Linked DNA regions of Xenopus tropicalis. The protein of the gene in region 2 interacts with the protein of the main gene of each other region in a biochemical or structural test. Links are inferred from orthologs where the notes say so. Each region holds a gene or a part of one and is shown on either strand. Other genes may lie near its edges.

What was found. The genes of interacting proteins can lie anywhere in the genome.
Region 1: the proteins of ahr (region 2) and arnt form a complex in vitro, tested with the Homo sapiens proteins (14 studies listed by BioGRID, with this or other methods). The link is inferred for Xenopus tropicalis from reciprocal best matches to the Homo sapiens genes AHR and ARNT.
Region 3: the proteins of ahr (region 2) and nr2f1 form a complex in vitro, tested with the Homo sapiens proteins (2 studies listed by BioGRID). The link is inferred for Xenopus tropicalis from reciprocal best matches to the Homo sapiens genes AHR and NR2F1.

What each region holds. Positions count from the first base shown.
Region 1 is NC_030684.2:126,632,722-126,636,932, forward strand, and holds the start of arnt (aryl hydrocarbon receptor nuclear translocator), read right to left. Parts: upstream 2,837-4,211; 5' UTR 2,701-2,836; intron 1-2,700. UniProt on the Homo sapiens protein: Required for activity of the AHR. Upon ligand binding, AHR translocates into the nucleus, where it heterodimerizes with ARNT and induces transcription by binding to xenobiotic response elements (XRE).
Region 2 is NC_030682.2:37,604,853-37,609,118, forward strand, and holds the start of ahr (aryl hydrocarbon receptor), read left to right. Parts: upstream 1-1,433; 5' UTR 1,434-1,697; coding exon 1,698-1,753; intron 1,754-4,266. UniProt on the Homo sapiens protein: Ligand-activated transcription factor that enables cells to adapt to changing conditions by sensing compounds from the environment, diet, microbiome and cellular metabolism, and which plays important roles in development, immunity and cancer.
Region 3 is NC_030677.2:178,175,061-178,179,326, reverse strand, and holds the start of nr2f1 (COUP transcription factor 1), read left to right. Parts: upstream 1-1,430; 5' UTR 1,431-1,946; coding exon 1,947-2,373; intron 2,374-2,635; exon of another isoform or gene 2,636-3,896; coding exon of another isoform or gene 3,897-4,005; intron 4,006-4,266. UniProt on the Homo sapiens protein: Coup (chicken ovalbumin upstream promoter) transcription factor binds to the ovalbumin promoter and, in conjunction with another protein (S300-II) stimulates initiation of transcription. Binds to both direct repeats and palindromes of the 5'-AGGTCA-3' motif.

The sequences.
Region 1 (4,211 bases), on a different chromosome or scaffold from region 2:
AGTGGCTTGCAAAAGTATTCGGCCCCCTTGAACTTTTCCACATTTTGTCACACCCCACTTTGCAGTTATTTATTTGTAAAAAAAATGTTTGGAATCATGTATGATTTTCGTTCCACTTCTCACGTGTACACCACTTTGTATTGGTCTTTCACGTGGAATTCCAATCAAATTGATTCATGTTTGTGGCTGTAATGTGACAAAATGTGGGAAAGTTCAAGGGGGCCGAATACTTTTGCAAGCCACTGTATACACACACAGCAGCACGGATATTATACAGCTATGGGTTTATATACACACCGCAGCAGGAACATAATAATAAGTAGATTAAAAAAAGCTAGCTATGGTTACTCTATAGAAATAGTAGACAGAAAGAAAGTGTTACACAAGCCCATCCACCACGGATCTATAGAAAGTGAGAGATTTAAAGGCATACATACAGCAGCTAAAGACTGACACAGACAGACACAGATTTGCTCTAGTTCTGCATCACGTTATCTAAGGCCAACATGAAGGGATGAACCAGTATTGCATTTTACCATTTATTCTTTCCATTAAAATGATGGCTGAGACAGCCATTAGCAGAAAAATAAGGCTTACATTTGTATTTGGGCCGGGGTGAGTGAAAGTTATGTAAACGTCAGGTTAATAGATGTATGAGACAAATTAATTATTAGTTGGGCCAGCTCTTTTCACCTGATTATAAAATCACCCAGGCACAAGTATGCTTACAAACTCAAACGCCACGTGGCCTTATATCAAAAGTGAGTGACAAAGTGACACCAACGAGTCGATGGTTGCGACCACCATTTGAGGGGGGATAGTAGTCCTGGAGCCAATTGGTTTTGGATCTATGGGGTGGGGGAAATAATAAGTAAAGCTATTCACAACACAATATTTATAAAGTGTGCGTATACACCTTCTCATCTATGCTAGCATTTTCATTAGCAGAATAATTTGTCCTATTATAATTACTTCCGCAAATTTTACTGACTAGAGACCTATTATTTCTCTTAGGCCCCTTGAGTTCTACGGGTGAAGACACACTGAGCAACTAGTAGCAACTACTAGACTCCAGAATATACCGTGCTATAGACAATACTGAGAACTGAATCTGCTAAAACACACGTAGAGAGATTATCAGTAAATGATCAGCACTGTCTATTTTAGTAGCTACGTAAAGTAGCTGCTACTAGTAGCTCCGCGAGTCTTCCCCCTAAGGGCTCTGGCACACGGGGAGATTAGTCGCCCGCGACAAATCTCCTGTGTCCTGGGCGACTAATCTCCCCGGATTGCCATCCCACCAGCGAAAATGTAAATCGCCGGTGGGATGGCATACGCTGTGGCGCGATTTCAGTGAGATCGAGGCAACTTGTGCAATCTCACTGAAATTGCGCCACCGCGTGTGCCATCCCACCGGCGACTTACACTTTCGCCGGTGGGATGGCAATCTGGGGAGATTAGTCGCCCGAGACACGGGAGATTTGTCGCTGGCGACTAAACCCCCCCCGTGTGCCAGAGCCCTAATAGTCTCTCCAAGGGCACCAAACTGCATAATAGTCATACTTGAGGTGGCCATACAGGTTAAGATTCGCTCGCTTGGCGACCTTGCCAAGTGAGCGGATCTTCTCCCGTTATCCCCACCTACGGGTGTGCGATATCGAGTGAACTTAAGGTGGCCATACCCGCACCGATAATATCGTACGAAACCTCGTTTCGTACGATATTTGGTGCGGGTATGGTATGTCGGCGAGTTGACCGATATCGCAGGAAGCTGCTGATATCGGCCGACTCGCCGATCGGACCAGTTTGAAAATTTTGATCGGGCGCCATAGAAGGCGCCTGACCAAAATCTCCCTTCAGCGCTGAATCGGCAGAAGGAGGTAGAAATCCTTTTGTTTCTACCTCCTTACCTGCCGATTCAGCCCTGAATGGTGTGTGGCGGATCTGACGATGTTTCGTGCGACCGATGGTATGGCCAGCTTTAGGCTAATTTGGTCGCTTGGCCCTGGGGCCAAACAATCGAATTAGAAAGCAGGAATAGGAGCAGTTGGTTGCGGTCCCCGATCCGACTAAATTTTTTAACCTGCCTGATCGATATCTGGATGATTTCAGGCCCATGTCGGTCGGGCAGACCTGCCGTTTGTGCCCCTACATGGGCCGATAAGCTACCGATATTGGCAGCTACAATCGCCCTATATATGGCCACCTTTATTGTGGAACAAAGCTCCCAGTTATACCATAAGATATAGAATACAATATAGTAAATAATAAACAGTAACAATAGCAGTGAAGCCTCACAGAGTAATAGGCGTTTGGCTTCTGGGATCACTTACTGCCATGTGAAGTAGGAAAGCATCAGAAGGCAGTGCATAATTCAACACTATAAAAATATAAAGTACAACTATAAGGTTGTTTAGAAATGCCCACTCTGCAACATGTCCTACCCATGCCCAGCCCCCGGGCAACTGGCCTGACCTGCCTGCACAACACAAGAGCTTATCACAGGTACCCCACACGTATCACTGCCCATTACCAGCTCCCCGTCCCACCCATGTGGAACCGCCACAGGCACACAGAGGCGACAGGTAGCTGTACCAGAGCGAATTCTGAGGCAACTAATTGCGCATTAACACGTACGCCATAAGCCGCCGTTCCCACAAGTACATGACACAAATGCAGAACAATTAGCGAACTCCTTACCTGCCCCCCAAGCCCAGCTGCCTTCCTGCCCACCTCCGTACTAAGTCCAACCCTCGGCTATCTCTTTCCTAAAGTTTCCGGGGCGACCGAACGGATATCGCCCTCCCTGAGGAAGCTTCACAGCGCAACACCGGACATGACGCCATTCAGCTAGCGACGCAATGCGAGAGAAAGTACCTAACCGAATACCAGCGATAAGGGGAAAAGCTTGAAAGGGAATAGTAGGAGGGGTCAGAGTAGTGGGCGTGCTTTTGACGAATCATACAGTGTAGAAATTATTTTTGGAATGTCGAGCATGCGCAGCAGCGGTACATTGGAGACGAATCGCCCATGCGCAGCAGGGGTATATTGATGGAGAATCGCGCATGTGCAGTTTCTGCCCATGGACTGCTGTATGCTGGGAAGTTATGGTGCTGGGCATTACTACTGTCTTCATGGTGTACGGAAACATATAATAAAAAAGTCTATTTATTGTGCTACCACAGAGGCATTGAACAGCTATAACTGAGTGATACCCTTAGGAGGTATATGGCTATTGCAGGGATAACCCCATATCACAGCAAGGGGAGTTGCCCCGGATTGTGCAAGCTAGCCAAAAGACTTTTTATGTATGTATGTATGTATAACTTTATTTGTAAAGCGCCACAAGGTTATGCAGCGCTGTACGTTTGTGCCCGGTAGTATACCTAATATCCAGCACTAACCCCCACACTGCTGGCTGGGATTTCCACTCAAGGTTTTCCCAAATCACTTAGTCCCCATTAACATCAGAATACCAAATTCCTACGAACACATGGGGCACTGGCAGCATATACGCACAAGGAAAGGTTTTTTTTATTGTCTCATGGTGAAGATGCTGCTGATTCTGGTAATAGAGATGTAACCCTATTTTGGCTAGTATTTGCCAATGTCCAGCTAGTGGGTATGAGCACGGAGAAATGCGCTTATGAGATGTTGCTGAACTGCAATTCTCCACCACTGCCAAAGGTGTATATATTATGGACACCAGAGGTTGTTTTGCATTAAACTAGAACTTAGTTTATTGATGGAATGCACAGCATATGCAGGGTTAATACAGTTTTAAGGTATAGTTGTACAAGATCAGATACTGTTGCAATATAAGCAGAGTAGTGTAGCACCATGGTGGAGATAGATAAGTGATAATAGACAGGAGTCCCAAGGGTGTCAACCTTAACTGGCCCGGTTCCCTACAGCCAACTCTGGTCCAGGGTTTAGAAACAGCCTGAATCCTATGTCTGGACTGCTGTCCCTACAATAAGGCAGTAGAGCCTTGGGTGTACTAAACCCACTAAATTCTCGTTTGTTGGAGCACACAGCTGCTCTTGCTAAGTCACACTCCTAGAGCTGCTATTACAGAGTCAAATAACTTCACCTCATTCAAGGGGTCCCTGATCCCCGGCTTAGAATTACTAGTAGGATTGGCTTCGGCTTGGGCACAGGCTTCTGGGCCTAGTTGGGTCCCAGGCTCAATGGAACACCACCTGCATAAC
Region 2 (4,266 bases):
TTCATTTTTCAAATGTTGGGAGGTATGCTATAGTACATATATGCTGTCCCCGATGCAATGCTATAGTACATATATGCTGTCCCCGATGCAATGCTGTAGTACATATATGCTGTCCCCGATGCAATGCTGTAGTACATATATGCTGTCCCCGATGCAATGCTGTAGTACATATATGCTGTCCCCGATGCAATGCTGTAGTACACATATGCTGTCCCCGATGCAATGCTGTAGTACATATATGCTGTCCCCGATGCAATGCTATAGTACATATATGCTGTCCCCGATGCAATGCTGTAGTACATATATATACTGTCCCCGATGCAATGCTGTAGTACATATATATGCTGTCCCCGATGCAATGCTGTAGTACATATATACTGTCCCCGATGCAATGCTGTAGTACATATATACTGTCCCCGATGCAATGCTATAGTACATATATGCTGTCCCCGATGCAATGCTATAGTACATATATGCTGTCCCCGATGCAATGCTATAGTACATATATGCTGTCCCCGATGCAATGCTGTAGTACATATATATACTGTCCCCGATGCAATGCTGTAGTACATATATATGCTGTCCCCGATGCAATGCTGTAGTACATATATGCTGTCCCCGATGCAATGCTGTAGTACATATATATGCTGTCCCCGATGCAATGCTGTAGTACATATATACTGTCCCCGATGCAATGCTGTAGTACATATATACTGTCCCCGATGCAATGCTGTAGTACATATATGCTGTCCCCCCTTCCAGAGTGCGTTACATGCATTTTTCCTGACCCTATTTTGTATTCAATGCAGTATACTCTTGGGGAAATATACAGTATAATTTTTTTAATGCAAAGAATGGCATCAAATCTGGCGTTCAGACGGTGTAAAACAAAACACACCTTGATAATCTTGCCATTATTTTACACAGCTTTTAAGCTGTTTTTTGATACATTTCGTTGTACACAGCATAACAAACAGGCCCCTAACTGTTCAGCAGTAGAAGTGTTTGCATAAGGCAGTACAGCCAGGGCGCCACAGTTCCTCCAATGTATCCGGCACATAAAGCAGCACAATGCCCTCAGCTATGAACAGTTTAGGACTGTAATTTTTTTCACTCAGAAATGCAGACAGGCGGGACAAAACACTCGCACTCGATGTTACTATTCTCCGCGCCTTTCTTCCTGAAACACCTCTTCCGGCAAGAACGCATTTTTTTACAACAGCAATCCCCAGATTCACTATTTTATTTTTTTAAATACAATTTAATAATTTTTTAATTCTTTAAAATACTGACTTGCTGTACGTCTATTTTACTGAATTGTATCTAGCATACACTTTATCAAGAAAGTGACGGGCGCTGTTTAACGCCGTCCCACCTAATAGATCTGTCAATACGCGCACACTTAGGCGCGCTCCAGTTAACGCGCATGCGCATCCCTACGTGGGCGTGCCTCAGTCAAGCAACGTCAGGCCCTGCTCTGCGCATGCGTGTGCTTGCATACGCTTCAAGTGACTTGAGGAAAAGTAGAATTCACGGAAACTCCCGTTTTTGCCTTCTTACCGGAACTTTGTAACTATTTACGGATACGGTGCCGGGCAGGCACAAGGGGGGAGGGTGAAAGGGAGGAAAGCCATTAAATATTTAGAATTTGGAAGTTGGATTCCTTGGCGTGTCTCCGCGGCGTAGAAGTGGACGGGATGAACGCCAACATCATGTACGCCAGCAGGAAAAGAAGAAAACCCGTCCAGAAAACGTAAGAAAGCACCCAAGTGCTGGGCCGGGGCGGGAGGGCAAAAATTGCGTCCCATCTCTTGGGGTAACTAGAAATCGCAGCCTTAGAGCGACGGCACTGACAGTGTTGGCTCAACAACTGCGAGCAATAGGGCAGCAAGGGCATTTGTCCTGCAGAGGGGCATACAGACAAGTGGAAAGAACTTGTTAGATACGTTCTGTATGTGCATCAGGCATACCCAGCTGAGGTTGGCCGGGGGAAGGGGCCATAGATTCAACGGCAGATGACTTGTTTGCTGTGTTGTGTATGTGCATCGGCAGTGCCCAGCTTGTGCTGCCCTGCGGAGTGCCCATAGATTTCAGTCGAAAGAACTTGTTAGATACGTTCTGTATGTGCATCAGCAATTCCCAACTGATGTTGGCCTGGGGCAGGGGCCATAGATTCAAGGGCAGATGATTTTGAAGTAGTGTGTTCTGTATGTGATCAGCAATGCCCAGCTTGTGCTGCCCTGCGGAGTGGCCATAGAATTGAGTGGAAAGAATTTAGATACGTTGGTTAGATACGTTCTGTATATGCATCAGGAATGCCCAGCTGATGTTGGCCTGGGGAAGGGGCCATAGGTTCAAGTGCAAATGATTTGTTAGGAATGTTCTGTATGTGCATCAGGTAATGCCCAACAGTCTTCCAGTTGATGTTGCCCTGCAGAGAGGGATATAGGTACAGTTGTAAAGGACTTGTTAGATTCATTCTGCGTATACGTCAGGCATGCCATCTTACAGTCTTCCAGTTGATGTTGCCCTGCAGAGAGGGATATAAGCTATAATTGTAAAGGACTTGTTAGATTCATTCTGCGTATACGTCAGGCATGCCATCTTACAGTCTTCCAGTTGAGCTTGCTGTGGGGATGGGGGCATAAATATAAGTAGAAAGGCCTTTTGAGATACTTTCTGTATATGCTTCAAGCATGCCCAGCTTGCAGGTTTCCAGATGATGTAGTACTGTGCTTATTGTTTGTTTGGGGGTGGGGGTCCCTGTCTTTCTGCCTATTTGGAAGATGCGCCTTAGTGATTACTACCATTGTATTTATTAGGGAAAGTGTACTATATATATATATATATATATATATATATATATATATATATATATATATATATATATATATATATATATATAACTATGTAATGAGTGTGGGTTCATTTCTGTATGGTGATATTTAGAGCCTTTTCCCGTAAGTGGTGGACATACTGCTGTCCAGGTCATAAATATTTTTCATAGACTCTGGTAAAACAGTGATAATCATAAAAAAAATAAGGAACTCTTGGATAGCTGGTGCATGGTGCAACTATAAATAGCTTTGTAATACTTTTTTGTTTTAACAGTATAAATTTATTTAATTTATTGAATTAATGGTCACCATAATTTAAACTGTTCAAAACATTACAGATCAGTGCATCACAATATAAGATATAATGTAATGCTTGGTATATACACTGTCAATGTCTGTGCAAGGTATTTAATCCACAGACTGTTTTTTGGGGGGGATCATTTTGTCTACATAATAGGTTTATCCAATTCCCTATTGCACACTGGGTAAGACCATCTATGTCGGAAGACTGTATAAAGGGGGATTCTCAACATGTGACCCTAAAACTGCTTTTGAGCTACACTTGGGCAGCTGAAGGCATTTGGCGGGGGGGGGGGGGGGGGGCTGCTGTATTGGAAGGATGATTGTTGTACCTTCCTGATTTTAGGTGTCTATGTAGTAACTTTGGCCCCAGTTATAGCATTTGTTGAAGTATAGATCTCAGCAGTGTTTCTTCAGATGCTGTATGTTATGCATTTTTAAGTATTGGCGATTCAGATGGTCAAAAAAACTCAGCTGTTATGTAACCATTGCACAAAACAACTGGTCTGTTCTGAAAGAAATTAGTGCCTGGTTGGCCAAATATGCATTTTCCAAAATTGTTTAGCAAAGGACAATATTCAAATATTGATTGTTGCTAAACTTTGATAAAGTGTTTTGAGAGACCTTAAGCTGATTGGTGTAAAAAGGTATGCTTGAAAAAAGTAGCAATAGAATATTATTTCTGTACTTCTAAAAATGACACACAGTATCCCAGATGGGTTTAAAGGGTAAAGTGTCCCATTTCAATTATGACTCTAGTCAATAAATTGATTGTAATGATATATTTTTGATGTTTCTAATTTTATTTTTTTGTCTGAGGGATCAGTGGCAGCAATGATATGTTTGGGAATGTGTTCATATAAAAAGGGTTTGCCATCAAAATTAAATACTCCTTTGACACTTTTAAAATTGTTCAGAGCCCTACCATGGCTTTATTTATTTACCTTTTTTGTATATGTGTACTGGAATCATTAGCGTAATATGTACTATGTGTAACTGGATTGGCTAACTAGATTAATACTGAGCTTTACAAATCCTGTTGCCAGAGAGGGTCTTAAAATGATCCTCCTGGCTCCCTGCTTTGTGGCATGGGATGTACTCTGTGTGTTCTTGTAAGTTCTAGCTCTTG
Region 3 (4,266 bases), on a different chromosome or scaffold from region 2:
CTCTAACAGGGTGCCTGTGCTGCTGGGACTCTTACAGGCATTGATCCTGCCAGACAACAAAAAGGGACAGGAGCTGCGTTTCATTAATAATTCCTCTAACGCTGTGGCGCAACTTCTCCACTAAATATCGCACTATAGCGGGGGATAGATATAAATATTTGCTCAAATACAGATACACATTTTTTTTATTATTATTCTCATTGTTAGAGATCAGTGGGAAAGTGCAGGGGGGTGCGGACAGGGAGTGAGAGTGCTGCTGGGGAGAGAGTGAGATTCCTTTTGACATCAATCTAAATAATTCACAGTCTCCTCATTTTTACATCTTCATCTCCAGGCCGTGTAAGTTCTGCCATTTTCCCATCAGCCACTCCAAGTGGTGCATTTTGTTGTGGCCCATGCTAATCAGGGCTGCGAGCAAATGGCAGCAGCGGGCAGGCAGGCGATGTGAATGAACAGTGCGCTTGTCAGAGCCCCCCCCCCCCCCCCCCCCCCATCATTCTCCCTCCTTCCAGCCCCAGTCGTAGGTAACAAGGCAAATGGAAAAGGGGGGGCCTGAGGCACAAGTGATCCCACCAATAGGAAGAGGGGGCTTGGCTAACCTTAGCCTCCCATTTTTCTTCCCCCCCAACTCGGGGCTCTGACCAGTCAGTCGCCTTTGATTATCAGTTGCCAGCAGCCCCTCTCTTGGCTCCTTGACATGAGCACCATATAAGGCAGCGATCTCCATAGAAACGTGTCAGTTTCAATAGTAGTGTCAAAGTTCACTATATACAGACAGTCGCGCAGATCCCCCTTTCGGAAACGTTGCTCCGCTGCTCTTCCCGTTTAAACGCATTCATTTGTGTGTGTGACTCTGTGCCTTCCCTTCTCCCGACTTCTCTTCTTATTGCATATTCTATTAGGTGTCGTCTGGGCTTTTTTTTTCCTTTTCTTTTTCCCCCCTTTGCCTCCCTCACTCCATTCCTGCAGGAGAGCTCCGCACAGCACCGACCGCTCCAGCCCATTGTTATTATTATTCTATTCTCAGAATCGCAGTGTCGCTGCTCCAGGAGGATACCGGTGTCTCTCTCTGACTTTTCCTGCGACTTTTTGTGTTTTTTTTTCCAACTGACTTGAGAAGCCAAAGAGCAGAAGGAGAAGCGGAGCCGCCGGCCGGTACAGCCACAGCCCGACCCCTATCAGAGCCTTGTTATTCCGGGCAGATGGGATAAGCCGGGCTCTGTCTCCTCATGGTGCGGACGGGTCGGAACCTTCTCTCGCTGTTTGTGACTTGTGATGCAATGAGAGTCGCACCGGGGTTATTTCTCCATCGCTCCCAATAAAGAGAGCATTTGCCAAGCGACAGATCGCGGAGGGAGGGAAGCGCCTGATCTGCTCCAGGCTGTGGATGAGGCAGATTCCCAGGACTGGCTCTATGAATGGCTGACTGCATTTTGCCCTGGATTTGGCCCCCGGACACTAACAAACCCTGATCAGGTCCCCCCACCCACCCCCTCCAAAGATTTATTCTTCATCGCCCTCCCTCCCGTCACCCAGGCCGGCTGCACACTGCTCCGTCCTGCAGAGCCCGCTGCCCCTGGCCGCCCTATGTCTGCCGGCGAAATTGGGGCTGCGAATCCCGCCGCCTCCCCAGCCTGAACCCTCCTCCTGCAGCCCGCAGCCCGGAGACCAGGGGAGGAGGACCAGATCGACACTCAGGGGAGGGGGGGAACAGTTGAAGCCGCACTTCCAGCGCCCAGCCGGGCACACAATACATCATTAGCTCCTGAGCCCATTTCACTGTGCAAGAGACAGGGGGAAATCCCTTGAGCGCTAATCCAAGGAAACGGCTCCCAGCAGCGGCCAGCACCACGGCAGAGACAGCCAGCTTCTTCTTCTCCTCCAGGATCAAATCCCCCCAGACCGCGGCCATAAGCTCCCTCTCCAGCACTTTCTGGGCCCGAGATATGGCAATGGTAGTTAGCAGCTGGAGAGATCCGCAGGAGGACGTGGCCGGGGGAAATCCGGGAGGCCCCAACCCGGGGGCCAGGGAGCAACAGCAAGCGCCCTCCGCTGCCCCCCACACGCCTCAGACCCCCAGCCAGCCGGGACCCCCATCCACCCCCGGTGCAGCCGGGGACAAGGGCCAGCAGGGCTCCGGGCAGAGTCAGCAGCAGCACATCGAGTGCGTCGTGTGTGGGGACAAGTCGAGCGGCAAGCACTACGGCCAGTTCACCTGCGAGGGCTGCAAAAGTTTCTTCAAGAGGAGCGTCCGCAGGAACTTAACGTACACATGTCGCGCCAACCGCAACTGCCCCATAGACCAGCACCACCGCAACCAGTGCCAGTACTGCCGCCTGAAGAAGTGCCTCAAAGTGGGCATGAGGAGGGAAGGTGAATATTTGCTCTGGGCACCGGTGTGTGTGTCTGTGTGTGTGTCTATGTGTGTGTGTGTGTGAGTGCGCCTGCCTGGCCCAATATGTATGACTTGCTGATGCATTGTGGCGCTATTAATATTAATAATCGCTGCGTTCCCCGCGTGTCTAGCTTTGTGTGGGTTTTGTCTGTGGAAGCATGCTGTGGGCTGTTGGCTGAGCCTCTCTATTCATGTGCTCCATCCCTTCCCTCTCTCTCTCTCTCTCCCTCTCTCTGTCATCATTAAAAGACACACACACACAGCAAGTTCAGCCAAGCACCTCTCCCCCACCAATCCACATGAAAACAATGCAATTTACTGTACTTTCCATCCATGCTCTGGGCACTCCAGGCATCCTCTAGTTCCTCTAGTTCCAGCAATTCGTGGCCTTGCTAAACACATGCCCTCTCTGCTCCACTTCATATTCTTCATATTCAAAATGCATTTATTCTTCATATACAGTCCATTTTCATTATGCCATCCCTCTCTTTAATCCAGACATAATTTAAATTAGCAGCCACCTTGTTTAAGAAGGTTGTATTGTATTTTATATATAGGCCATTATCTCACACACTTTACAGAGAGAACTAAAAGTTTCCTCCCTTTCGTTACAGAAGCTTAAAGTGTGTGAATGAATGGGGTGAGGCTGTATATGCGGGGTCCGTAGCTGCCTTGTACTTGTTCCTGCCTGTCAGTGGGTTTTGTGTATCTGTGTCAGGTTGTCAGTGTGTGTAAGTTTATGTGTGTAGGAGTAGACAAACTGTTACATCATTGACACATCCTGATACATAGTGATATATAAAAAATATTGTGTACTTGTGTATTTGTATTAGATTGTGTGATTGGTATTTTGGGTGGTTGTGTACAGTAAAGAAAAGTAATGTTTTGTGAGAATGAATGTGTGTGTGAGTGTGTGACTATGTACAAATAGATACAGTGTAACAATCAAGCCAGTGCCCAATGCTCTGCACATAGGCATCACCGCATTTACAAACCACGCTGAAACTTATATAAAACCAAAAGTCACGTTAATATTTCCAAGGTAATTTAGGTGAGGAAAGCAGGAAGCAAATACATTCATCCATAGGCTTATAATTGTTCTATATTTTATCTCTAATGAACAGGTTACTCCACTTGTATTTAAATGCAAAGCGTCGCCATCTAAAAATCCGAGGTTTTATTAAAAATGCAGCAGCCTGGGAATACTTGTCCTGTATAGTGAGAGCCTATCAATACCAGACATGCTAGTCATTTAAATTGGCCCACTACACAAATCATTGCCATATGATTGCATTGCATGGGGTGAGTTCATATTTTTTGTGTGTCTGTGTGGGTTCTAAATTTAGTTCAGTTTCCATTTTCTTTTTGTTAGTTTTCATGTCCTGAGAGCAGGCAGTTAGCGCCTATGGAGTGAGCCCCCACGTCCCCATTAGAACAGTTTGTGAGCTTTGCAAGCAGGGAGCATAAATAAGCTTGCTCACGTTTAGCATCCTTGCACTTAATGATCCAGTGTTTTGCATTGCCACGTTTGGTCACTCACTCTGCCAGCAGCCACACTGCACCAAGCCTTGCATACATTAATTGGCTTCTCCTCACTATGTTTAATTATTGTAAGTCCAATTTTATCTTCTATTCTCATTGTTTCACTGTATCACTTCGGATATTCCGTGTGTTTGAAATGATTGTAGATCCTGACTATTGATGAATATATATATATATATATATATATTAAGTATATATACATATAGTGATGTGTGTGTATATATATATATATATATATATATATATATATATATATATATACATACAGTCATATATATTTATATATTAATACACATGATATATACATAATATACATAAATATATAGAAG